4 linked regions of the Saccharomyces cerevisiae S288C genome follow. The protein of the gene in region 4 purifies or fractionates together with the protein of the main gene of each other region. This does not show direct contact. Each region holds a gene or a part of one and is shown on either strand. Other genes may lie near its edges. The genes, in order: NOG1, HAS1, ERB1 and SSF1.

What was found.
Region 1: the proteins of SSF1 (region 4) and NOG1 purify together in Saccharomyces cerevisiae (affinity purification with western blotting; 13 studies listed by BioGRID, with this or other methods). This does not show direct contact.
Region 2: the proteins of SSF1 (region 4) and HAS1 purify together in Saccharomyces cerevisiae (affinity purification with mass spectrometry; 9 studies listed by BioGRID, with this or other methods). This does not show direct contact.
Region 3: the proteins of SSF1 (region 4) and ERB1 purify together in Saccharomyces cerevisiae (affinity purification with mass spectrometry; 5 studies listed by BioGRID, with this or other methods). This does not show direct contact.

What each region holds. Positions count from the first base shown.
Region 1 is NC_001148.4:368,615-374,826, reverse strand, and holds NOG1 (putative GTPase NOG1), read right to left. Parts: upstream 3,850-6,212; coding exon 1,906-3,849; downstream 1-1,905. Other genes in the region: SSU1 (Ssu1p), read right to left, coding at 1-1,034; Sec63 complex subunit SEC62, read left to right, coding at 4,164-4,988; EEB1 (medium-chain fatty acid ethyl ester synthase/esterase), read left to right, coding at 5,386-6,212. UniProt on the Saccharomyces cerevisiae protein: Involved in the biogenesis of the 60S ribosomal subunit.
Region 2 is NC_001145.3:848,821-854,804, reverse strand, and holds HAS1 (ATP-dependent RNA helicase HAS1), read left to right. Parts: upstream 1-3,213; coding exon 3,214-4,731; downstream 4,732-5,984. Other genes in the region: GOT1 (Got1p), read right to left, coding at 1-10; protein kinase TDA1, read right to left, coding at 415-2,175; aminodeoxychorismate lyase ABZ2, read right to left, coding at 4,996-5,984. UniProt on the Saccharomyces cerevisiae protein: ATP-dependent RNA helicase involved in 40S ribosomal subunit biogenesis. Required for the processing and cleavage of 35S pre-rRNA at sites A0, A1, and A2, leading to mature 18S rRNA.
Region 3 is NC_001145.3:367,594-374,394, reverse strand, and holds ERB1 (ribosome biogenesis protein ERB1), read left to right. Parts: upstream 1-3,877; coding exon 3,878-6,301; downstream 6,302-6,801. Other genes in the region: CSM3 (Csm3p), read right to left, coding at 6,461-6,801.
Region 4 is NC_001140.6:227,267-233,312, reverse strand, and holds SSF1 (rRNA-binding ribosome biosynthesis protein), read right to left. Parts: upstream 3,979-6,046; coding exon 2,617-3,978; downstream 1-2,616. Other genes in the region: DYS1 (deoxyhypusine synthase), read right to left, coding at 17-1,180; hydroxyacyl-thioester dehydratase HTD2, read right to left, coding at 1,501-2,343; RNA-dependent ATPase RRP3, read left to right, coding at 4,276-5,781. UniProt on the Saccharomyces cerevisiae protein: Required for biogenesis of the 60S ribosomal subunit.

The sequences.
Region 1 (6,212 bases), on a different chromosome or scaffold from region 4:
TTTCCTGTCTCGTTTTCAATCTCTTTTTTATTGTAGTACGACAGGATTGAAACGACAGAAATCACGGTGAAAAAATAGCCCATAGCGAGCAATGCCATAGCAGAAACCATGCCTAGAATTTTGAAACACCATGGAACTGCAATAGTCAATATCTCTTGTTCTCTTGTAATGTTATCTGTTGGGTAATATTTGCCCGCATATTTTTTTATATTATCTGTAAGCAATAAGACTCCAAAACTTCCTTGGCCCATCGGGCCCAAAAGCAGGAATAAGGTGAAAACCTGTGTCATTGGTGGTATCTTATTAATATAAAGACTCCAGAAGTATATCGCAATCAGTATGAAGACGAAGATAATGGCATGCAGCCACGTTAAGGCACATATGACCAACGTTATCAGTTGAATGTTTCTATTAAACGCATGGAAGAATATTTCTGACATTGTGAATGTTCCACAACTTGAAGCGACGACAACCAGCGGAATGATATCCAGTAGCAATACACTTTTCATGTTTTCGGATGCCATTTTGATATTATATGAAGGATAATTCCCAATCCCTTCCAAAGGGTAATAGTCATGCCAGATGAGAAACGAGATACCCCACGCTATTACTAGACAGACTGCGAGATCATACCACCACAAGACGTAAACAAATATCATCAAATTTCTGGCATTAGTGGGGCTCTTCGTCGTGTTCGCTTTCGAGAGTGCTCCTAAGAAATTTATAATTGTAACTAACCCCATGGGATAAGTACCCCAAAATAAATTGTGCTTCATATTTCTGAAAAAGTCATTAAAATATTCTCTGAAGCTTTTCTCCTTAATATAGACAATCAAATGTAATATTTGTAGTGCCTGCACAGCAATGAAAATAAGGCAAGCGATAGCAAACATGATGTAGGAGCATATTCTTAGCCACCTTGCAGGATATGGGAAGCTATATAGAATATTCGATGAAATGCCGACACCCATGACCATCATAAACATGAAGGGGTCAAACTGCCTCGTAAGAGCAAGTACCCAATTGGCAACCATTTTTTTCTTGTACTTGTCTTCTCTTACACTATAAAACGTTTTTAAATTGCGCGTATTGTCTGAGCTCAATCAACAATCGTTACTAGGGGAAAGCTGTAATTTGTGTGTTGTCTAAATGCGGAGAATTTGTTCAGCCAATATCACAAGTTTCAACTTAACAAGACAAGGATTAGAAATAAGAACTACACGCTGGTTGGCTATTCTTTTAGAACCTCTAGTTAAATAGGTAAAATAAGCAAAGTGAGCAAAAATAAGCAAAAGAAGTCAAAGACAACCCCAATGTGCCAAAGACGGCGATGAGTCTTCTGTTTTTTAAGATTCATGCACTCTCAGATTTTCGGCTACAGACGCGGCACAAGGATGAAAAAAAAAAAATGATAGTTTGCAGGAATTTATCAGTCAATTGATGGGAGACATCGCTATTGTTGCCTTATACGATACACTGCAAAAACGATAACAATTTCTTATTTGTCAACCTCGTGGGAGACTCGATAGGTTGCATGATGATGTGTCACAAAAAAGTAGAAGTGTCATCTTGACGCTATCCCACCCCTTCTTTTTCCACATGCTTAATTATTTGTATACATCCAGTGACATACAAAAAAATAGTAGAACATGGAGGGGTCGGCTTGTTGGATAATTTAAATCGGTTTATTATTATTATACAGATTAAATAAAATTTTTTTAAAAAAAAGATACAGAAAAAGTGAGAAAGAAAGAAAAAGAAACCACTAATAGTGAGAGAGATAATCAAATGTAAATGGTAATCCTACCAGCCCAAAAAGATTAGAATGTCGTGTACGTACATCCACATTTTATATTCATATTTTTTTTAAAGTACATGCAAAAGAAAGAATAAGAAGTAGAGAAATCAACGGAAATCTGTCTTACCGACACCACGCTTACCACTGAATAAATGCTTTGATAAGGAAACAGCATTGTGTCTATCAGATTCACCTTGCTTGGCATGTCTATTTCTTTCTCTTCTTTCCATCTTGGCCATCCTGTCGGCCTTGGATCTCATGGAGCCATCAGCAACACCATCCAACAGTCTATCGGTTTGTCTCAACTTGACACCGTTTTCAGTGGAAGCTGTCAAAGCATCTTGGTCGCCAAAAACAACATCAGAACCTCTTTCAACATAACGGTTCTTACGAGCAGCACGGTTCTGTTTATCTTGTAAGGCTGACATGTCATGGCCCAAAGTGGACATGTGTTCTTCCATTTTACCAAAGGACTTAGTTAGTTTAGAACGTGGCATGATAGCTTTGTTCTTCAAGGACTTCCTATTTCTTGCTTCAGCAATCATCGTCTTTTGTCTATTTCTAATCCATGCAGCTTTCTCCTTGATATCATCTACTTCGGATGCTTCGAAACCGTCGTAGATTTCTTCCTCATCGTCAGAATTGTAGAACCCTTCGTTCTCCAATTTTTCTTCTTCTTCTTCAAGAGCCTGCAGTTTAGCAGCGATTTCAGGGTCCAAGAAATCATAAACATTCTTACCATCCAAGATTTCTGGCATGATGTCATTCTTCCACTCATCATCTTCTAATAGGTACTTGTCCTTCAAGTTAACATTGAAGACACCAGCACCACCATTTTCAGCTTCGATGTCTCTGGCCAACTTTCTCCTGTTTGGATCTTCAGGGTCGTATTTCTTCAAATTCTTGACAGATTCTGGGATAAATGGTGTTCTCTTGACATCATCTCTTGCTTGAGGTTGAGCAACATGAATCTTGTTCAGAACATTGTTGATTCTAGACTGAGATTTCAACTTATTCTCAATTCTAGAAGCCAATAGTTTTTCACATGCTTTGTTTCTAACTTCCATAACGTTTTCTTCCAGTTGGCATGAAGAAGTCATGATTTCAACACCTGGAACCTCCTTAACAGATTCCAGTAATTGTGCACGCTCTTCGTCTAAATCCTCCGGTCTGATAATGTCGGTTTTGTTGATAACAACCATGACAGACTTGTTGGCGAATAGAGGCTTGATGGAGTGGAATAGTTTAACTTGAGCTTCGATGGTGAAACCACATTGTTCGGAAAGATCCATGAAGTACAAAACACAAGAACGTAAATGGGCAATGGCATAAATCGATTGCATTTCAATGTTGTTCATTTCTTCAGTGGGTCTATCTAGGATACCAGGGGTGTCAATAGCTTGAAATCTCAAGTATTTGTAGTCAAAATGACCAACGTATAAACTCTTGGTTGTGAAAGCATATGGTTGAACATCGACGTCTGATTTGGTAATGCATCTCAAAAACGAGGACTTACCGACATTTGGATAACCACAGATCAGCAAGGTTCTGGTATTTGGGTCGATCGATGGTAATCTACCAATGTGCTGTCTGACTTGTTCCAAATAGGCCAATGGGTCCCTCAATTTCTTGACTATAGTTGCCATTCTACCTAAAGCGGCCCTTTTCAATTGTTTACATTGAAATAAAGATTGACCGAATTTTAGCAATCTGACATAATCTCTGGCGACTTGTTCCACAAGGGACTTCGCACGAGATATAGCTGCCAAAGATATCTTGTAATGATTCTTTTCGTATAGGGTGTCCATCAAATCTCTATGGAAAGGATGCACGTCATTGATGTTAGGAAAACCCTTTAAAATGTCCTCAAATTTTTCCACGAAACCTTCACCTGTGTATTTAACTTTACGCATATAGAACGCTCTGATTCTTGTAATCTTGAAACCAGGTCTGATCACAGTTGGTGTCTTTCTCTGGGTTCTGTTCAAGACAATATCCAGCAAATCATTTGCTGGAGCGACAGTAGGGATATCCTTCCATGAAAGTTGCATCTTCGGTATAGGAGGGAGATGTGTTTGCTTTTGGAGGGTACACTTACTTTTTTATAAACGCTGCAACTCCTAAATCTGAAGTGTATTCTTTATATTGTATTAGATGAGGTAGTACATAGGTGAAAATTTTTCTTTGCGATGAGCTGCGGAAAAAACTTTTCGTTCAGTTGAAAAAAAAAAAGAAAGTGAAGATCGTGTGCGACGGAATAGACGTGTCGTTTTCCCAATACTGGCATACAAATCAAGAGGGAGAAGAGTGGGCTTTTATAATTGCAGTTGAATGCAGTATGGTAGCCGAGCAAACACAGGAGAACATGTCAGCCGTAGGTCCAGGTAGCAATGCAGGTGCTAGTGTCAATGGCGGATCTGCTACAGCCATTGCTACTCTTTTACGCAACCATAAGGAGTTGAAGCAAAGGCAGGGTTTATTCCAGGCCAAGCAGACAGACTTCTTCCGTTACAAGAGATTTGTTAGGGCACTGCATTCTGAGGAGTATGCCAACAAATCTGCAAGACAGCCAGAGATATATCCAACTATACCTTCTAACAAGATCGAAGACCAGCTTAAGTCACGTGAAATCTTTATTCAACTTATAAAGGCACAAATGGTGATCCCAGTGAAAAAATTGCATAGTCAAGAATGCAAAGAGCATGGATTGAAGCCAAGCAAGGACTTTCCGCACTTGATTGTTTCGAATAAAGCACAATTGGAAGCCGATGAATACTTTGTTTGGAACTATAACCCTAGAACCTACATGGATTACTTGATCGTCATTGGTGTCGTGTCCATCATATTGGCGCTCGTATGCTACCCATTGTGGCCGCGCTCCATGAGACGCGGCTCCTATTATGTGTCTCTGGGTGCCTTCGGCATCTTAGCAGGCTTCTTTGCTGTCGCTATCCTGAGATTGATATTATATGTTTTGTCATTAATTGTCTACAAAGATGTTGGTGGGTTCTGGATCTTTCCCAACCTGTTCGAAGATTGCGGTGTACTAGAGAGTTTTAAGCCACTTTACGGTTTTGGTGAGAAGGATACTTATAGTTACAAAAAGAAACTGAAAAGAATGAAGAAGAAACAAGCCAAGAGAGAAAGCAATAAGAAGAAAGCCATCAATGAAAAAGCCGAACAAAACTGAACTTCCATTATCCTGTATAGCTCTACTGTATAAACCTTCTATATTGTAACCTCATGAACTCGCACATGTACAAACCTTCAAGAGAACCGGCACCAAAGCGCTACCATCTGGTTGCTTCATCGCTTATAGTGAGTAGTTTTAGATTTGAAGGTTATCGCTCCTGGCAAAAATCTGAATCCACACACCGCATAATTAGCGGTTATTATTACTCAATTTCCGGCCGGCTTTAATATACTTTCACCGAAAGGTCTCTATATAGAAGCTATTTGCTGACACTTGCTTACAGGAATCGATTATATAAGAAGGGTTCTGCATCTGGTTGCCTACTTAGTTTTCGGTATTTTTGAAGATTAGCAAAAAGATCAAGATATCAAGTATTTTCATATTTGTCATTTTAATGTTTCGCTCGGGTTACTATCCAACTGTCACTCCTAGCCATTGGGGCTATAACGGCACCGTCAAACATGTACTGGGAGAGAAAGGAACCAAGTCTTTGGCTTTCAGAGATTCTAAGCGCCAAATTCCTCTTCATGAATTCGTAACCAAACACGTGCCTACACTCAAAGATGGTGCAAATTTTAGGTTAAACAGCTTGCTTTTCACAGGTTACTTACAGACCCTTTATTTGTCAGCCGGTGATTTTTCCAAAAAATTTCAGGTATTTTATGGAAGAGAGATTATAAAATTTTCTGATGGAGGGGTCTGCACTGCAGATTGGGTTATGCCTGAATGGGAGCAAACATATTCATTAAATGCTGAAAAGGCTAGTTTTAACGAGAAACAATTTTCGAACGATGAAAAGGCCACCCATCCAAAGGGTTGGCCTCGTCTTCACCCGAGAACTAGATATCTATCCTCTGAGGAACTTGAAAAATGTCATTCTAAGGGTTATTCTTACCCTTTAGTGGTAGTACTTCATGGTCTTGCAGGGGGAAGCCATGAGCCTCTCATCAGGGCATTATCTGAAGATCTATCAAAAGTCGGTGACGGTAAATTCCAAGTGGTAGTCCTTAATGCTAGAGGTTGCTCAAGATCTAAAGTCACCACCCGTAGAATCTTTACCGCATTACACACAGGTGATGTGAGAGAATTTTTGAACCACCAAAAAGCTCTATTTCCGCAAAGAAAAATATATGCAGTCGGAACATCATTTGGAGCAGCCATGCTAACGAACTACTTAGGTGAAGAAGGAGATAACTGTCCATTAAATGCTGCAGTCGCTCT
Region 2 (5,984 bases), on a different chromosome or scaffold from region 4:
TGAGCCACATTTTACGCGATGATGGGTAAGCTAAATGATCACTGGGCTGAACTGTAAATCAATCACACGGAGAAGGCAAACGCCAACGCCTTTTAACTCATCTTAAGTGTTTGGGATGGACAACTTTCCAATGTCCGAAAAGAACACGACGGGTAATACTATGCACGAAAAATAAACCATACCATGGAAACCGTAAATGCCGGATGAGTACTAAGAAGCGCAACACATTATTATTTGATTCTTAAAGTTACTATTTTTCTTTGTGATCCCCCATAATTAATATATATATGTTACAGTTATATTTATTTCTTGAAAAAAAAAAAAAAGAATAATTAATCGTAAATTTCATTAGTTAGAATGTCGTCCCAGGTAAAAAAAAAAAGAAAGAAAAAAAAGGTGAATTATCATTCAACACTATATCTGCATGGTTTCATCACCATCAGAATCATCAACATTCACCTGGAATGAAGCTGCGTGTTTTCTTGCAGGATTCTTATCGTTAGTAGTATCATAATCGTTAATGGCTGTGGTATCATTGCTGCTCATCGAGGCCGTACGTGGGGTTAAAAGTAAGTCAACTTCATTGACATATTTCTTCACGCTAGTAGAGGAACCTTGCCTCGATAAGGTTTTGGGGGTATTGAAATTTGAGCGCGATTCTGGAGTGGTGCTGAAACAACCGTTCATCAAGCTATTCTTTGGTGGCTTAGGGTCCAAGACAAAAGTAGAATTCTTTTTCACGAGGCCTGACTTGGATGATGATAAAGAAGTACCGTTTTTGTTAGCGTGAAGATAGTCGAATGTGCCTGCAGGCTTAAGAGATGTCATGGATAATGTTTTCTTCAGAGTGTCTCGAATTCTATTCAATGATCTTTCACGAGAATTAATGGTTCTATCAACGTAAAGGTCAGGCAAATCCATCTTGCTGCTGAAGGCGGTGGAAGTTTCAGAGGACCCGCCATCCATATTTAAATACGCTAGAGTAGTTGTCTTTCTTGATTTGGAAGGAGACCTCAATGTGTGCATGGACGCTGTAGAAGATACCCTTCTTATTGTTGGATGAAAGGAGAAATTCGGCGTGTCCTTAGTATTCAAAGAATTTGAAGTAGCAAAATAATCCTTAATAAAGGGATGCTGTTTCAAATTCTTAGCAGAACGCCTAACGGCCGGGTCAATAGTAAAACAGCATTGAACAAAATTCCAAAATTGTTCGTATTTAGGGTCGTGCATCATTTGTTCGTCGACGTAATAGTCACATTTTGAAATACATTCCAGAGTTTCGTCGTCTGTGGTACAGTCAAAGGGCGTATAGCCGAAGGCCATGAAATATGTCAGTACACCAAGGGCCCATATATCCACCGGACAACCATACTTGTCTAGTTTGCCAACTTGATCAGGAGTCATTTCACCGACACCTTTGCACTTGACGATTTCTGGAGCAATATACGAGATGGTTCCAACAAACTCCTTTAACGAGTTTACCTTACTTGTGTTATATTCAGCAGCAAGACCAAAATCGGCGAGAACTAGGTCGTGTGCCAAGAGATCGTATTTGAAATCTCCGTGGTGTTCACCCTGTAGGTTTTTTTCGTTTTCGTTCACTCTCAATCTGAATAAGACGTTTTCTGCTTTCAAGTCTCTATGAACAATACCTTGAGAATGCAAAAACTCGAGAACGCTCACCAAACAGGCGCAGTACGAGGTAACTTGAGTTTCGAGGTCTAAACACTGATTTTCAACAATTTTTTCATACAAATCTCCCTTCTGACACAGCTGAGTGATCAGGACAATGTTATCTGCCGTCTCAAAATAGTCGAAAAGTTGTAAAATATGGTGATGCCCCTCAAAAATGTCCAAAGAATGTTCATTCTTTTTTTCCATATCTCTGATTTTCTCGCTTATTGACCTCAAAAGGTCGAACTCTCTTTGAATAAGTTGAATTTTGTTCTTGACAGTTTGTTTCTTAATAAGCTTCATCGCGTACAAATCCTTTGTGTGTATATTCATACATTCTTTCACGACGCTAAAATTCCCATCGCCCAAGGAGTTGTGGTTGGTTACGTATTTACATTTGAAGGTTTGAGCGTCTGCATTGCTGCCACTCAGTTGCGGCCAAGGTTTTTCTTCCGGCAGGCGCTGTTGTAGCTGGGAAGCAGAAGAACTAGCTGTAGTCATATCCTGGATGTGTATTTTTCTTTTTGAACTGTTGTAATGTCAATTGTATGAAAATATCGCGGTTTGGCTGAGACAGTCGTGGTAGGTAACTGAAGGAGCAAACAAGAAATTAATAAATAAACAAGTTAGCAAAACAAATAAAAAAACTGTCACTCTAAATAGAAAGAAGTAAAGAAGCAGAAGAAGTCATCCCCGTTCGACACGTTTTCATATTCTGAGTACATGATAAACCCCGCCCTCTTTTTCTTTTTTTAGGAATCCCCCTTTCTATTGTCAGAACAAGAAAGCGGTGTTGGAATTCAAGCAGCTTTTTTTTTTTCTTTTCGTCATACAGTTTCTTTTTCAGGAGTCTTGGTAGCACCCCACCCGTGGAATCGGCGGAATAACCTAACACGTGGAGGTTTTTCCGAGGTGCCAAAAAAGGAAAAACAAAGAGAAGCTGAAATCGGAATTTGAAGAATAGCGTGGGGGGGAGGGGGTTATTCAAGGAGCGCCTGTACCGGCAACGATAGCTTCGGCGGCTAAGATGGCAAACCTAATAGATGTATGTAAAAACATGGATGATAGCAGGCGGTGAACAGCCATGGTAATTTTAGGGAGTGCAAAAGTTATATGTAAGGCTATATCTGTATCAGTTAACAGGGGTGGAAAATGATTTGATAGGCGCAATATGTTTATTGGTAAAAGAGCATCTTAAACCACTTCATTCCATTTCTCACTATCACAAGTGATATATTATGTGTATTTTGCAATCCATGACGCTTTAATGCTTTACAAAGCGCTGCTACTTCTATTTTCTTAACGTAAAGAGGAGTGTATGACGACTAAGAATTGTTTACCCGGCGAGAGTCGATTCTTCGTTACCCGAATTGAAAATTTTTTATTTGCTTTTTCTTTTTTTTTTTTTTTTTTTTTTCAATATTAGCTTTAGCGATGAGATGAGATTTTATAGTGTATACACGGTACTTGAGTACATAGCTATTGGATAACTGTATACTATAATAATTAGATAAGCTGAGCAATATTAACAGGAGAAGTATGGCTACCCCGTCAAATAAACGTTCTAGAGATTCTGAATCTACAGAAGAACCTGTAGTAGATGAAAAGAGCACTTCAAAACAAAACAATGCCGCACCTGAGGGAGAACAAACTACTTGTGTGGAAAAGTTCGAAGAACTAAAGTTATCACAGCCAACTTTAAAGGCCATTGAAAAGATGGGATTTACCACTATGACTTCTGTTCAGGCAAGGACTATCCCACCTCTTTTGGCCGGTAGGGATGTTCTTGGTGCTGCCAAGACAGGTTCTGGTAAAACTCTAGCGTTTCTCATCCCTGCTATTGAACTATTGCATTCTTTGAAATTCAAACCAAGAAATGGTACCGGTATAATTGTCATTACGCCTACAAGAGAGTTGGCTTTACAGATTTTTGGAGTGGCAAGAGAGTTAATGGAATTCCATTCACAGACATTTGGTATTGTCATTGGTGGTGCAAATAGAAGACAGGAAGCCGAAAAATTGATGAAAGGTGTTAACATGTTGATTGCTACCCCTGGAAGATTATTGGATCACTTACAAAATACAAAAGGATTTGTATTCAAGAACTTGAAGGCTTTGATTATCGATGAAGCGGACAGAATCTTAGAAATTGGGTTTGAAGATGAAATGAGGCAGATAATTAAGATCTTGCCAAACGAAGATAGGCAATCCATGTTATTTTCAGCTACACAAACGACCAAAGTTGAGGATTTGGCTAGAATCTCGCTGAGACCGGGCCCTCTTTTCATTAATGTCGTTCCTGAAACCGACAACTCCACCGCAGATGGATTAGAACAAGGCTATGTGGTATGTGACAGTGATAAGAGATTTTTGTTGTTATTTTCTTTCTTGAAAAGAAATCAAAAAAAGAAAATTATTGTATTTTTATCATCTTGTAACTCTGTGAAATATTACGCTGAATTATTGAACTATATTGATTTGCCAGTCCTCGAATTACACGGTAAGCAAAAACAACAAAAGAGAACAAATACATTTTTCGAATTCTGTAATGCGGAAAGAGGTATCTTGATTTGTACAGATGTCGCAGCTAGAGGGCTAGATATCCCTGCTGTGGACTGGATCATTCAATTCGACCCTCCTGATGATCCAAGAGATTATATTCATAGAGTCGGAAGAACCGCAAGAGGCACTAAAGGTAAGGGTAAATCTTTAATGTTTTTAACACCTAATGAATTAGGGTTTTTAAGATATCTAAAGGCTTCCAAGGTCCCATTAAATGAGTACGAATTCCCGGAAAACAAAATTGCAAACGTTCAATCACAATTAGAAAAATTAATTAAATCCAACTATTATCTACATCAAACAGCCAAGGATGGTTATAGATCTTATTTACAAGCGTACGCTTCCCACTCTTTGAAAACTGTCTATCAAATCGATAAGCTGGATTTAGCCAAAGTAGCAAAGTCTTACGGTTTTCCAGTCCCTCCAAAGGTTAACATTACAATTGGTGCCAGTGGAAAAACGCCAAATACCAAAAGACGTAAAACTCATAAGTAATTTCAGAGGATCAATTTTTAATGCTATTAATGTGTACGTGGAACCAACACAACCGAAGTATTCATCTTCTGTTCTCATCGCACTCCTTTTCCTTTCTCTGCTTCTCCACTGTATGTCATTTAAATAAATGTATAAACCGCTGTTTTCTGTTTGTTGTCTTCTACGTACGTTGTCTGTATCAACCTGCACATATTTGAGTATGTAAAATCATGATTTGTAAACTATTGTAAAAAAACTTCATTGATATGAAAATCTGTCGTCTGCTCAATATTTTGTCTTCACTGTTCCCTTTATGCATCCCATGACGCCATTGAAAAGCAAAACTTCGTTGCCAACGGTAAGGCTTCCTATATCTATATCTCCCTCTTCAATAAGGCCGAGCCGCAATAAATAATGACGCATTGTTCCGCACAAACATCCAGTTGCTAATCTTGGTGTCACATACTTTTTAGAACCGTTAGGATCTTTTTGAATTACAGCCACGTTTGTTATTGAACCTTCCATCAGCAGGCCAGATTTGTTGGAAAATAAAATTTCGCATTGCGAGACAGAAGAAGTAGGTTCTGAACCTCTTAAGTTATTTATAGCAGTTTGCATGCGAACTCTCGCCCTAGCGTAATGATCTCTTGAAGTGGTTTTAAAACTGGTGAAAGCTGATGCGTTCAATGGTTCAGATGAAACAACAACATCCCAATTTATTGTGCTATCAATTAAAAATCCATTGAGCATCGTTTTGATGAAGTATGTGGAAACACTGTCATAATCGGTTGTTAATTTTAGGATAGGCTCCATAGGCATTGGAATTGCCTCAATTCGTATATCTCCTGTCTTAGAGACAAGTACCCGCATTTTATAGCATTGCCTTTCGTTGATCATTTTTTGAATTTTTTCGTGATACTCTGAATTTCCTTCTTTACAATTAATCAAGTTTTCAACCAATAACTTCAATAAATCATTCAGAGACGTGCTGAAGTCAATTTTAAAGTATGATAATGCTATTCTTATTCTTTGGTATTGTTCATCTAATAAAAAAAATCGTTCATAAATGACTTGTAGCATATCTTCTACACGCTGGCACACAATGGTCTTGCAATCATGCTTCCAAGCATCAGGATGCTGAATATTTTCGAGAAGGTCACCGCCGGAATTAACCTCCCTTACTCGTAAATAACTTGAGTAATCCTCATTAATTATCTGCTGCCTAATATCTTCGTCTCTCAAACCTAATCGAGGGTCTGGAGTTTCAAAGATCT
Region 3 (6,801 bases), on a different chromosome or scaffold from region 4:
CCTGACACTTACGACCCAGGCATGCAATCCAATACCGTACATCACTATGCATTAATGACATCCCTGTCACTTGCATTAGACAATAACTACTATATTACACAATTAGACATATCTTCGGCATATTTGTATGCAGACATCAAAGAAGAACTATACATAAGACCTCCACCACATTTAGGAATGAATGATAAGTTAATACGTTTGAAGAAATCACTTTATGGATTGAAACAAAGTGGAGCGAACTGGTACGAAACTATCAAATCATACCTGATAAAACAGTGTGGTATGGAAGAAGTTCGTGGATGGTCATGCGTATTTAAGAATAGTCAAGTAACAATTTGCTTATTCGTTGATGATATGATATTGTTCAGCAAAGACTTAAATGCAAATAAGAAAATCATAACAACACTCAAGAAACAATACGATACAAAGATAATAAATCTGGGTGAAAGTGATAACGAAATTCAGTACGACATACTTGGCTTAGAAATCAAATATCAAAGAGGTAAATACATGAAATTAGGTATGGAAAACTCATTAACTGAAAAAATACCCAAACTAAACGTACCTTTGAACCCAAAAGGAAGGAAACTTAGCGCTCCAGGTCAACCAGGTCTATATATAGACCAGCAAGAACTAGAGCTAGAAGAAGATGATTACAAAATGAAGGTACATGAAATGCAAAAGCTGATAGGTCTAGCATCATATGTTGGATATAAATTTAGATTTGACCTATTATACTACATCAACACACTTGCACAACATATACTATTTCCGTCCAAGCAAGTGTTAGATATGACATATGAATTGATACAGTTCATATGGAATACGAGAGATAAGCAATTAATATGGCACAAAAGCAAACCTGTTAAGCCAACAAATAAATTAGTTGTTATAAGCGATGCATCGTATGGTAACCAACCGTATTATAAATCACAAATTGGCAACATATATTTACTTAATGGAAAAGTAATTGGAGGAAAGTCCACCAAGGCTTCATTAACATGTACTTCAACTACGGAAGCAGAAATACACGCGATAAGTGAATCTGTCCCATTATTAAATAACCTCAGTCACCTTGTGCAAGAACTTAACAAGAAACCAATTACTAAAGGATTACTAACCGACAGTAAATCTACAATCAGTATAATTATATCCAATAATGAAGAGAAATTTAGAAACAGATTTTTTGGTACTAAAGCAATGAGACTAAGAGATGAAGTATCAGGAAATCATCTGCACGTATGCTATATCGAAACCAAAAAGAATATTGCAGACGTAATGACCAAACCTCTTCCGATAAAAACATTCAAACTATTAACAAACAAATGGATTCATTAGATCTATTACATTATGGGTGGTATGTTGGAATAAAAATCCACTATCGTCTATCAACTAATAGTTATATTATCAATATATTATCATATACGGTGTTAAGATGATGACATAAGTTATGAGAAGCTGTCATCGATGTTAGAGGAAGCTGAAACGCAAGGATTGATAATGTAATAGGATCAATGAATATAAACATATAAAACGGAATGAGGAATAATCGTAATATTAGTATGTAGAAATATAGATTCCATTTTGAGGATTCCTATATCCTCGAGGAGAACTTCTAGTATATTCTGTATACCTAATATTATAGCCTTTATCAACAATGGAATCCCAACAATTATCTAATTACCCACATATATCTCACCTTCTTACACTGTATATGATAATATATTAATATTAAACCAGTCAATAAATGTAATTGATTATTTCAACACGAAAACCTAACTATCAACGATATCACATAGAACAGCGAAGAGTTAGAAGATTTATTAGAAGATTTATTAGTATAGGTTATTTTAGATGCAATTTTTCAATAAAACCTGGTTTCGTGGTCTAGTCGGTTATGGCATCTGCTTAACACGCAGAACGTCCCCAGTTCGATCCTGGGCGAAATCATTTTTTTAGCACTTTAGCAGCATATTGCGGTATCGAATCATCTTCATGAATGGCGCAGATTTATTTGAACTGTTCAATCATAAATTAACCTTATGTGAATAGTCTGGGTAGGTTGAAACTTCGGAAATCACTTGCTTTTCTGAGGGCTGCGCGTAATCTAGATAGATCTACCTAAATGACACCGATGGCAACTTCAAGCTATACTAACTCCTAGACATTACTTTCTTCAGTATTCCCTTAGTGCCTGTTTTGAGCTATGAGATTGGTATTATTATTTGAAATATCTTCTATTGCGGTATCTGATTTTATATTTCTAGCTTTGTCATAAAATATAAAATACACAAATATATATATAGAGATAAGATAGATTATTTTTGATGACTTGCAAGTTGCACTAGGATTTGTTTTTCTTCTAAAAACCCCTTAAAGGTATTTCCAGAGAAAATATTATGCTGGTTATTCGATACTATTATCCAGTATACACTGACCTATGTTATAAGCAAAGGTTCTTCGTTCTGCCTCTTTAACAGGTGGAGTGCGTGCCATTATCATCAATGAAAGTTTAACATGTAATTGTCATCAGCTGTATACTGTTCGAATCTGTTCATTACGAAGGTTTAACTTCAAAAATCGAAAAGAAAAAAAATAGAAGATAAGAATATTGCATAGATCCTTCTTTTTTAGTGAAGTCACCGAATAATACATATAATGAAGTTAAAATTACAAACCGTGCAAAAACACCGCTGATTTAGAGTGGGCGATTTCATAGATCAAAAAGCAGGCTAAATATGAATTGAAAATTAAGTAGTCTACTATTTTCTGACAGCAGTGGCGCGCGACGGTTTCCAGGAAGTTTATTATTCAACGTGTCCAATTTTCACACGCTGCTTGACATCGTTATTCCCTGAACGCATTTTTACACTGTATGCGCAATTTGAGCCACTTTGATGGACTATTATGTATGAATAGCTTAGCTTAAAGAAGTAACAGTAGAGTGTTGAACCTTTAAGTGCTTGATGTACTCGAGCCTTTTTCTATGATACCTCACTCCAGAAAAAAGCGTTTAACATATCTGGCATTGAGGGTGGTCTCAAACAATAAAAGTATCCTATTTAATATTTTAACATTGCTGATAACCTAAAAAATCTGAACGTTGCCAGCATAAAACCTCAGCTTTATATCGTACTGAATAACATACTTACTGCAGGGCGAAATTTTTCTCAAATTGTGCCTAAATCGTTAAGTTACTAAACTTTTACGCGCAGTACTGGCATTGAGCGATCAATATTGTTTAATGCGTAGTGACGATCTTCTCCACTTATATTTTTTTATTCGTAGTTCTCTATTTTCGTTTCGATTTGTTTTCTCTGTCTACCAGATTAAAAGTGATTTGAAGTTTTTTATCATGAACTAAACAATAAAATTACAAAAAAAAAAAGTCAGCGTCACCAAGGATTGCTACCAATATACGACTTTACTGCTGTATTATCGAATTTTACCTTCTAGGATATTATGTAAAGTCTCTAGCAAAGGGAGAAAACTAATGTTACTAGGACTGAAGAACATTTTCCTCTTATAGTGTAAAATTGATTTTGACAAGAATATAATTAATACATTTTTTTTCTTTTGATAGCAGTATTGAGTACAATGAATTGAGCATTCAAGGTTCAACATGTGATAGTAGCTCTACCGCTAGTATGTTATTGCTAATTAAGTAGGATTGAATTGTCGCGATTTTGTCATTTTGGGTTTTAATAACTCTTGTACGGGTTACCCCATTTGTTTTTGAAGATTAGTGAAAAATTATTGAAAATTTTTTTTTTTTTGGTTTTGCGATGAGCTTATAATTTACATATGTGATATATTCGCATATAGATCCTAGCGAAGAAAGGTACTGTATTAAATCTGTTCTAACATAACTAGGTCAATGATGGCTAAGAACAACAAAACTACCGAGGCAAAGATGTCGAAAAAGAGAGCAGCTAGCGAAGAATCTGATGTCGAGGAAGATGAGGACAAGCTTTTATCCGTTGACGGTTTGATCGATGCGGAAGCAAGTGAGAGTGACGAGGATGATGACGAATACGAGTCTGCCGTTGAAGAAAAGGAATCATCTTCTGATAAAGAAGCCCAAGATGATTCTGATGATGACTCCGATGCTGAATTAAACAAACTGCTTGCCGAAGAAGAAGGTGATGGGGAAGAGGACTATGACAGTTCTGAGTTTTCAGACGACACAACTTCCTTAACAGACAGATTATCGGGTGTGAAATTGCAAACGATCGTTGATCCGAATATTTACTCAAAATATGCAGATGGCAGTGATAGAATTATCAAACCTGAAATTAATCCAGTTTATGATAGCGATGATAGTGATGCCGAAACGCAAAATACCATTGGTAATATTCCACTTTCTGCATACGATGAAATGCCACACATTGGATACGATATCAACGGTAAAAGGATTATGAGACCTGCCAAGGGTTCTGCTTTAGATCAACTGTTGGATTCTATCGAGCTACCTGAAGGCTGGACTGGTTTACTGGACAAGAATTCCGGTTCAAGTTTGAACTTAACCAAAGAGGAATTAGAACTTATTTCCAAAATCCAAAGGAACGAACAAACTGATGATAGCATAAATCCATACGAACCGTTAATCGATTGGTTCACGAGACACGAAGAAGTGATGCCATTAACTGCTGTTCCGGAGCCAAAAAGAAGATTTGTTCCATCCAAAAACGAAGCCAAGAGAGTTATGAAAATTGTAAGAGCTATCAGAGAGGGCCGTATTATTCCTCCTAAAAAATTAAAGGAAATGAAAGAAAAGGAAAAAATTGAAAACTATCAATACGATTTATGGGGTGATTCTACGGAAACAAATGATCATGTAATGCATCTAAGGGCACCAAAATTACCTCCACCAACTAATGAAGAGAGTTATAATCCACCAGAAGAGTATCTTTTGTCTCCTGAAGAAAAGGAGGCCTGGGAAAATACTGAATATAGTGAAAGAGAAAGAAACTTCATACCTCAAAAGTATTCTGCCTTAAGAAAGGTCCCTGGTTACGGTGAATCTATTAGGGAAAGATTTGAAAGATCTTTGGATTTATATTTAGCTCCTCGTGTCCGTAAAAACAAATTGAATATTGATCCTAATTCTCTAATTCCAGAACTTCCCTCTCCCAAGGATTTAAGACCCTTCCCTATTCGTTGCTCAACAATATACGCTGGTCACAAAGGAAAAGTACGCACATTATCCATTGATCCTTCTGGATTATGGCTAGCAACAGGATCTGATGACGGAACAGTCAGGGTATGGGAAATTTTAACTGGTAGAGAAGTTTATAGAACTACTTTAATCGATGACGAGGAAAACCCAGATTACCACATTGAATGCATTGAATGGAATCCTGATGCTAATAATGGTATTCTCGCCGTTGCTGTTGGTGAAAACATTCATTTAATAGTACCACCAATATTCGGCTACGATATTGAAAATAACGGCAAAACTAAGATTGAAGATGGTTTTGGCTACGATACTTTTGGGACTGTTAAAAAATCTAACCTAGAAGTGAACGAGAATGGTGATGGCGATGAAGATGGAGAGAATGAATCTGCTAAGAATGCTGTAAAAAAACAAGTAGCCCAATGGAACAAGCCTTCTCAAAAGCAACTAGAAAAGGATATTTGTATCACTATTTCTTGCAAAAAAACAGTAAAAAAGCTTTCATGGCATAGAAAAGGTGATTACTTTGTCACTGTTCAACCTGACTCTGGTAACACTTCTGTTTTGATTCACCAAGTTTCCAAGCATTTAACCCAATCCCCATTCAAAAAATCGAAGGGCATTATTATGGATGCGAAGTTCCATCCTTTTAAACCTCAATTATTTGTCTGTTCCCAAAGATATGTCAGAATTTATGATTTATCTCAACAAATATTGGTCAAGAAACTGTTGCCTGGTGCCCGTTGGTTATCGAAAATCGATATTCACCCAAGGGGTGATAATTTAATTGCGTCATCGTTTGACAAGAGAGTTTTATGGCACGACCTGGATTTGGCTAGCACACCTTACAAGACACTAAGATATCATGAAAAAGCCGTCAGAAGTGTGAATTTCCACAAAAAGTTACCTCTATTCAGCTCTGCCGCTGATGACGGTACCATACATGTTTTCCATGCCACTGTTTATGATGACATGATGAAAAATCCGATGATTGTGCCACTAAAGAAACTAACCGGTCATAAAGTAATCAATAGTCTGGGTGTTCTTGATGCTATTTGGCATCCGAGGGAAGCTTGGCTGTTTTCTGCCGGTGCTGATAATACGGCTCGCTTATGGACCACCTAGATAAATAATTTGAAGTAGATATTGTATAATAACGCCCAAGAAGAAAAAATCAAACACTCGAACCAGGCTCTTTCTACAAGCTTTATTTACACAATATATATAAACCTATATGTATAGATGCCCACACGCACGTTTGGATTATTACCTTCAATGACATTGCTAAAAGCCCATTTCCTTCATAGCATCCAACTCATCTTGATCTACGCCAAACTCATCTCCCCCTGGCAATAAATCATAATGAGTATGTTGTCCCTCTATATCATTCATTTCCCACTCTTCCAAACTTTGAATCAGTTGAACGTCTTCTTCAGTCATAGAGCCTTTTTCCATTTTTCTATGCGCATCTAGCCATCCTAATAAGAGCTTCTTCTCATTTTCTTCAAGGCCAACGGGCCCTTGTACCCTGAATGTCTTCAATAATGCATCCAAATCTTCCTTAGGCGGCACAACGTTGTTAAGTACCGTTTCATTATTCCCACGTTCGTCCAAAACTCGTCCTC
Region 4 (6,046 bases):
TCTCAAAATTCTCTCATCAATTCTTAACTTTTTTGATTGGTTTACCACTGGCAAAGGTAGCAGCAACAATCAATGGAAGAACAGTGGTGACATCAGCAAAAAGTTTGACGGATTTGGCTTCAGCCTTGATCTTACCCCAAGACACAGCTTCGTCAGGTCTTGCACCTGCATCAGAACCATCGTATTCTTGACCAGTGTTAATGTAAACGGCATAATCAGCACCATTTCTCATCAAACAAGCATTGGCAATGTGGTGCTTGATCAAACCACCACCCAAGATGATCATACCGGCTCTGTAAGCGGCCATGGACATTGAATTGATTTTGCGGATATCTCCTACAATGTCAACTCTTAGTTGTTTTGGAGATGCTTTAAAAGTATGGAAAAACAACATGTCACCGATTGAACCATCAGTCAAAGATGGACAAAAGATTGGAATTTTATTCTTGTGGGCCCAGTACAATACGGAGGATTCGTCGTTGATTTCCTTACCAAAACGATCTATCATCTTAGATGGGGTCCAGATTGGTGAATCCACGTCTTGGTTAGCCTCTAAACAGTCAGCGCCATGTTTCTTTACGTATTCATCTTGTTCTTCCAACATCTTATCCAAAATTGGGACAATCCATTCTTCAAACTTACAGTAGTTATCATTTGGAACAAGCAAGTTACCAATACGATTCATACCTTGGTCACGCAAAGATTTACCTTTCAAAGCAAATTCACCCAAGTAAGTTGGAGCAAGACATTTGATCAAATCTTCTTCCACACCACCAGCAGAAGTAACGACAGCATCAACCATTTTGTGTTGCACCAAATAACGTAAAGTTTCACGTACACCGGAACTGATCAAGTTAGAAGTATAACCCATGAAGATAGTAGTCTTTTGGTACCCTTCCTCATCGAAGCAACCTTTCTTTTCATGGTCATCCAATTCGTCAATATGCTTACCTCTCCATGATCTCATACTATCAATAATCTCACAGGCAGTACCAACAGAACTAGCTTGGAAACCCATGGTCTTCATAGCTTCAATTAAATCAGTTGCTCTCATATTAGTGGCTTCAGGCTTTGAGTAATCAATACCTTGAACCTTAACGAAGTCATCTGGAATAGGAACAGATGCTTTCAAGACAGCGTCTTGTAGTAACTCTGGGAGTTTTTCGTTGATATCGGACATCTTTTTTGCTTTGACTTGTATATAAGTTAACTAAGCAAAACACGACTTTACTCTGCAGTTAGATACAAAACTGATAGAGGGAAGTACTTTGCGTCAAAATGGAAATATACATTACATTTAATTTTTCACTTTACTTTTTATTTTTTTTTCCCACCTTTTTTTCAGTTCTTCCCGTAATGCGTTTACCGTCAACCTGGTGATGGCGAGATATTATGGTAATCTCGTTCGTGACCTTCCACTGTTCAGCAGCTACTAGTATTATTTCAAGAGACAAGAAACACACAGGTAGTGATTATCTGCAGAGAGACAATTACTGGTAGTCAACAGAAAACATCAGCTTTCATGTAGACTAAGTTGGCTTTCTGGAGGTCCCTAATTTGAAATGTGTACATTCCGCTCGAAGAGCTTAAAGACTGACATATGCTCAAAGTAGTGTTTGGATATATATAATTCAAATTGCGGTATCGCAACTGTCTGATTGGTTGTTCGAGAAAAGGTTGGATGCATTTCTGTAGTAATTGGACCGAGAAGGGTCCTTGCATGATAATATCGTCGTAGCCTTCAACATAGCGACTGTACTCTTTGTCCCAATGAATTCGGTGCGGATTCAAAGACATCTGACCATAAGCTACAATATCCATATCAGTAACAGTAAAATTTTTTAAGATCTTATAGTTCTCCTCTCCTACGGGCATCTTGACTGCAGTCTTGTTTGCGGGTGAATTGGTGTACATTAATACCCTTCTCTCGAATAAGCAAATGTCCATTGGACTCGACACATTTTCGGGCCTTTCTTGTAAAAGGGTTCTTTCAATACAGACAACATGTTCATCTCGTATTTTTTTTACGTATTTGATTGATTCGTGGCATGTATACTCCTGGTCTAAGGTGACTGGTAAATACTGAACAAGCTCTCCTTGTCCCCAAATCCTTCTACGGTAGCGTAAATCAGGGTTTCCTAGCAAACTTGCAGGATTTTGATAGTTAAAATAACCATCTCTATCCAATTTTTCGAATGATGGTGGGAAGAACAGGAAATGTTCTCCCAGTTGAAGATGCTTCGTTGCCTTTGATACAGGGAGTCTCCTACAAAGTAAACTATCAAACGCTTTGGTTCGGTGACTAGATAAGACATCCCTGAAAATCCACGTTTTGGATTTCATGCTGATAAGCTGTCTTTAGATAAGTGGACGATTGCCCACCTTCAATGTACCAGCCACGCTCATGTATCGAAACAGTAGCTTAAAATGGCGTAAAAAAGGTAAGATCGAATTTTTTTTCACATGCCTTCTGAGATCTACGTTTCCTTTGGGCTATGATTTAAAAGACAAAGAGTTTATATGTATCAAGTATGCAATTTATCTAAAGTGAAGAAGTATACGTGCGTTGGTGGATAGCCAGGCTTAACTAAAATTTTCTTGGTACCGGAGAACAATTTATTCGACCTCACTAAATAAGTCACTATCTAGATCCTCTGGTACGCTACCATAATGTTCGCTGTCACTTGATGAAGACTCATCATCGCTCATCGCATCATCTTTTCCTTGACCTTCACCTCCTTCTGCTGCTCTAGCTTTTCTTCTTTCCAATTTACGTTGCTTTTTAGCGTCTTTAACAGCCTTCTTTTTAGCAATGTTTTCTTCTTGTTCCTTCTTTCTTTGTTCCTTCAGCCTCATTTTTGCAGCGTGTCTCTTTTCTAAAGCTTTGATTTCTTCGCTTGATTTTTGAACAAATTCATGATGTAACACTTTACCTGAACAAATACCTTCTTCTATCTTGACCAGTTTTAAAGTTAATCTTGGTCCTAATTCAGTTAGTTTGATAGCTTTCTTACGTGGGGTTGGTTGCAAGTTTTCTGAAGGCTTAGGTTCCTCCATTTCCACATCTTCTTCTTCTGTTTCTTTTTCACGCTCTTTATTATCCTTCTTTTCGACCGGTGTTCTTTGGGACTTCAAACTTTGAGAATGCTTTGCCTTCACGTCCTGATTATCAACTACTCTCACGATAGCGTCATCTTCAATTTCAGATTCTGATGTATAGGCGCCTAAGTCGTGATCTAATATCAAAGAAGAAATATCTTCTTTTCGATGCAAATTCGGCACTGTTTTACTTAGATTATTTTTGGCTTTATAAAGCCTTTTTAGGTTTCTAGAGATCTCTACTTCTCGAATGTCAATAAAATAGTGGCGCATAGAAATTTCCCCTGTTTCCCTGTCTTTATTGATCATAAATACACGTTTGATAGAATTCAAAGAAGTTCTCGCAGGATTCAGAGGTGGGAAAATATTCTGAAACATAGAAACAATGACCTTCTCCACGTTTACATCCTGGTCGTCTTCACCAGATCTTTTGGATGTGGAAAACCCGTTTAGCACTAGCAATGGAGGATTTAATACATCATCATTATTCAACGATTTAGGTCTCTTCAAAAATTTTTTGATATCTCTACCCAGAGAATAGTCCAATACTTGAAAAGTAACAGTAGGACCTTGCGGAGTTCTAGCTATCTTTAGGGAGACATTTCCTGTTTTTTCAGATTGAGTGAACATAAAAAGATGCGTAACACCTAATGGGCCACACATAACAACGAAATCCTTCAGTTTATTGGACTTGCGCTCTTTCAATTTTATAGCCGTATGTGGTTGCATGATTTGGCGGAAGTCCTTTACTAATTGGTTCAGAGAATGGTTGGCCAAAGAAGTTTGACCCACTCTGATTACCATTGACTTAGGTATACCTTGTTCCTGCTCAGGTGTAAGCTGTGCATGTGTTCTTTTCTTTTGTCTTCTCTTGGCCATCTTGAAATTTTATTGTCTGCTATATCTGGATTATACTCTTTTATTATTAAACATACTACTCACTCAAACCCAGATATCGAACTAATATCGCGATGAGATGAGCTTCTTCGTCTACTTTTTTTTTTTTTTTTTTTTCAGTGAAAAATTTCAATTTCGTCTAAGGCGATAAAAATGAAAAATTTAAAATTAATCAATGAGCATTTAGCAATTGTACATGGTATACACAGAATTGTGACATATCTTAGAAGCAATATATACCAAGATTCTGTTAAGTACTTCACTGAATCAGCTATAAAAATGTCCAAAATTGTTAAGAGAAAGGAAAAGAAGGCTAACGATGAATTAACTTCTTTAGCAGAAAAGATTAGAGCAAAAGCTTTGGAAAATCAAAAGAAGCTTATAGAAGCAGAAAAGGAAGGTGGTTCAGAGTCCGATTCTGAAGAAGATGCTACTGCTGAAAAGAAAAAGGTTTTGAAATCAAAAAGCAAATCCACAGTATCAACCCAAAATGAAAATACTAATGAAGATGAATCTTTTGAATCCTTTAGCGAACTGAATCTGGTCCCCGAATTAATTCAAGCTTGTAAGAACTTAAATTATTCCAAACCCACTCCCATTCAATCTAAGGCAATTCCTCCCGCGTTAGAAGGTCACGATATAATTGGACTTGCGCAAACAGGTTCTGGTAAAACTGCTGCATTTGCTATTCCCATTTTGAATCGGTTATGGCATGATCAGGAACCATACTATGCGTGCATTCTAGCTCCAACAAGAGAATTAGCACAACAGATCAAAGAAACATTTGACTCATTAGGATCCTTAATGGGCGTGAGATCGACATGTATTGTGGGTGGTATGAATATGATGGACCAGGCCAGAGACCTGATGAGAAAGCCACATATTATCATTGCTACACCTGGTAGATTAATGGACCATTTAGAGAATACCAAAGGGTTTTCACTGAGGAAACTGAAATTCTTGGTTATGGATGAAGCTGATAGATTATTAGACATGGAATTTGGACCTGTTCTTGATAGAATTTTAAAGATCATCCCAACCCAAGAAAGAACCACTTATCTTTTTTCCGCTACTATGACTTCCAAAATTGATAAATTACAAAGAGCAAGTTTGACAAATCCTGTGAAATGTGCCGTGTCAAACAAATACCAAACCGTAGATACATTAGTGCAAACACTGATGGTCGTTCCAGGTGGTCTTAAGAACACATACCTAATTTATTTATTAAATGAATTTATTGGAAAGACGATGATCATTTTTACAAGAACCAAGGCCAACGCGGAAAGGTTGTCAGGATTATGTAATTTGCTCGAGTTTAGTGCCACTGCGCTACATGGTGATTTGAATCAAAACCAGAGAATGGGATCTTTGGATCTTTTCAAGGCAGGTAAGAGGTCTATTCTCGTGGCTACAGATGTCGCTGCGAGAGGGTTGGATATTCCATCAGTGGACATAGTTGTAAACTACGATATTCCTGTGGATTCCAAGTCCTACATTCATCGTGTGGGAAGAACCGCAAGAGCTGGTAGATCAGGAAAATCTATCTCACTAGTATCACAATACGATCTGGAATTGATCTTAAGAATTGAAGAAGTTTTAGGTAAAAAACTACCGAAGGAAAGTGTGGACAAGAACATTATATTGACCCTAAGAGATTCCGTCGATAAGGCTAATGGGGAAGTTGTAATGGAAATGAACAGAAGAAACAAGGAGAAGATTGCCAGAGGTAAGGGAAGAAGAGGAAGAATGATGACAAGAGAGAATATGGACATGGGAGAAAGGTAGGCTTTGTAAGCATGGTTTACCTTTTAACGCCCAAAAGTTCAATTTAACTTAGAAATATTTATCTATATGTTCATATATACATCTATCAATATCACATAAAATTGCCTATCATTTCTTATTCGTTTCCTATTTGTTTCTCGAGCCATTCATAACTCATTCCGCGTAATGGGAGCGGTAAAAGATGTGCAAAATAAGTAACTATTTACGAAGTATTCATATTTTAGCTCTTTTTCTTCGTCGAATGTGATGGTGAAATTTTTTCCAA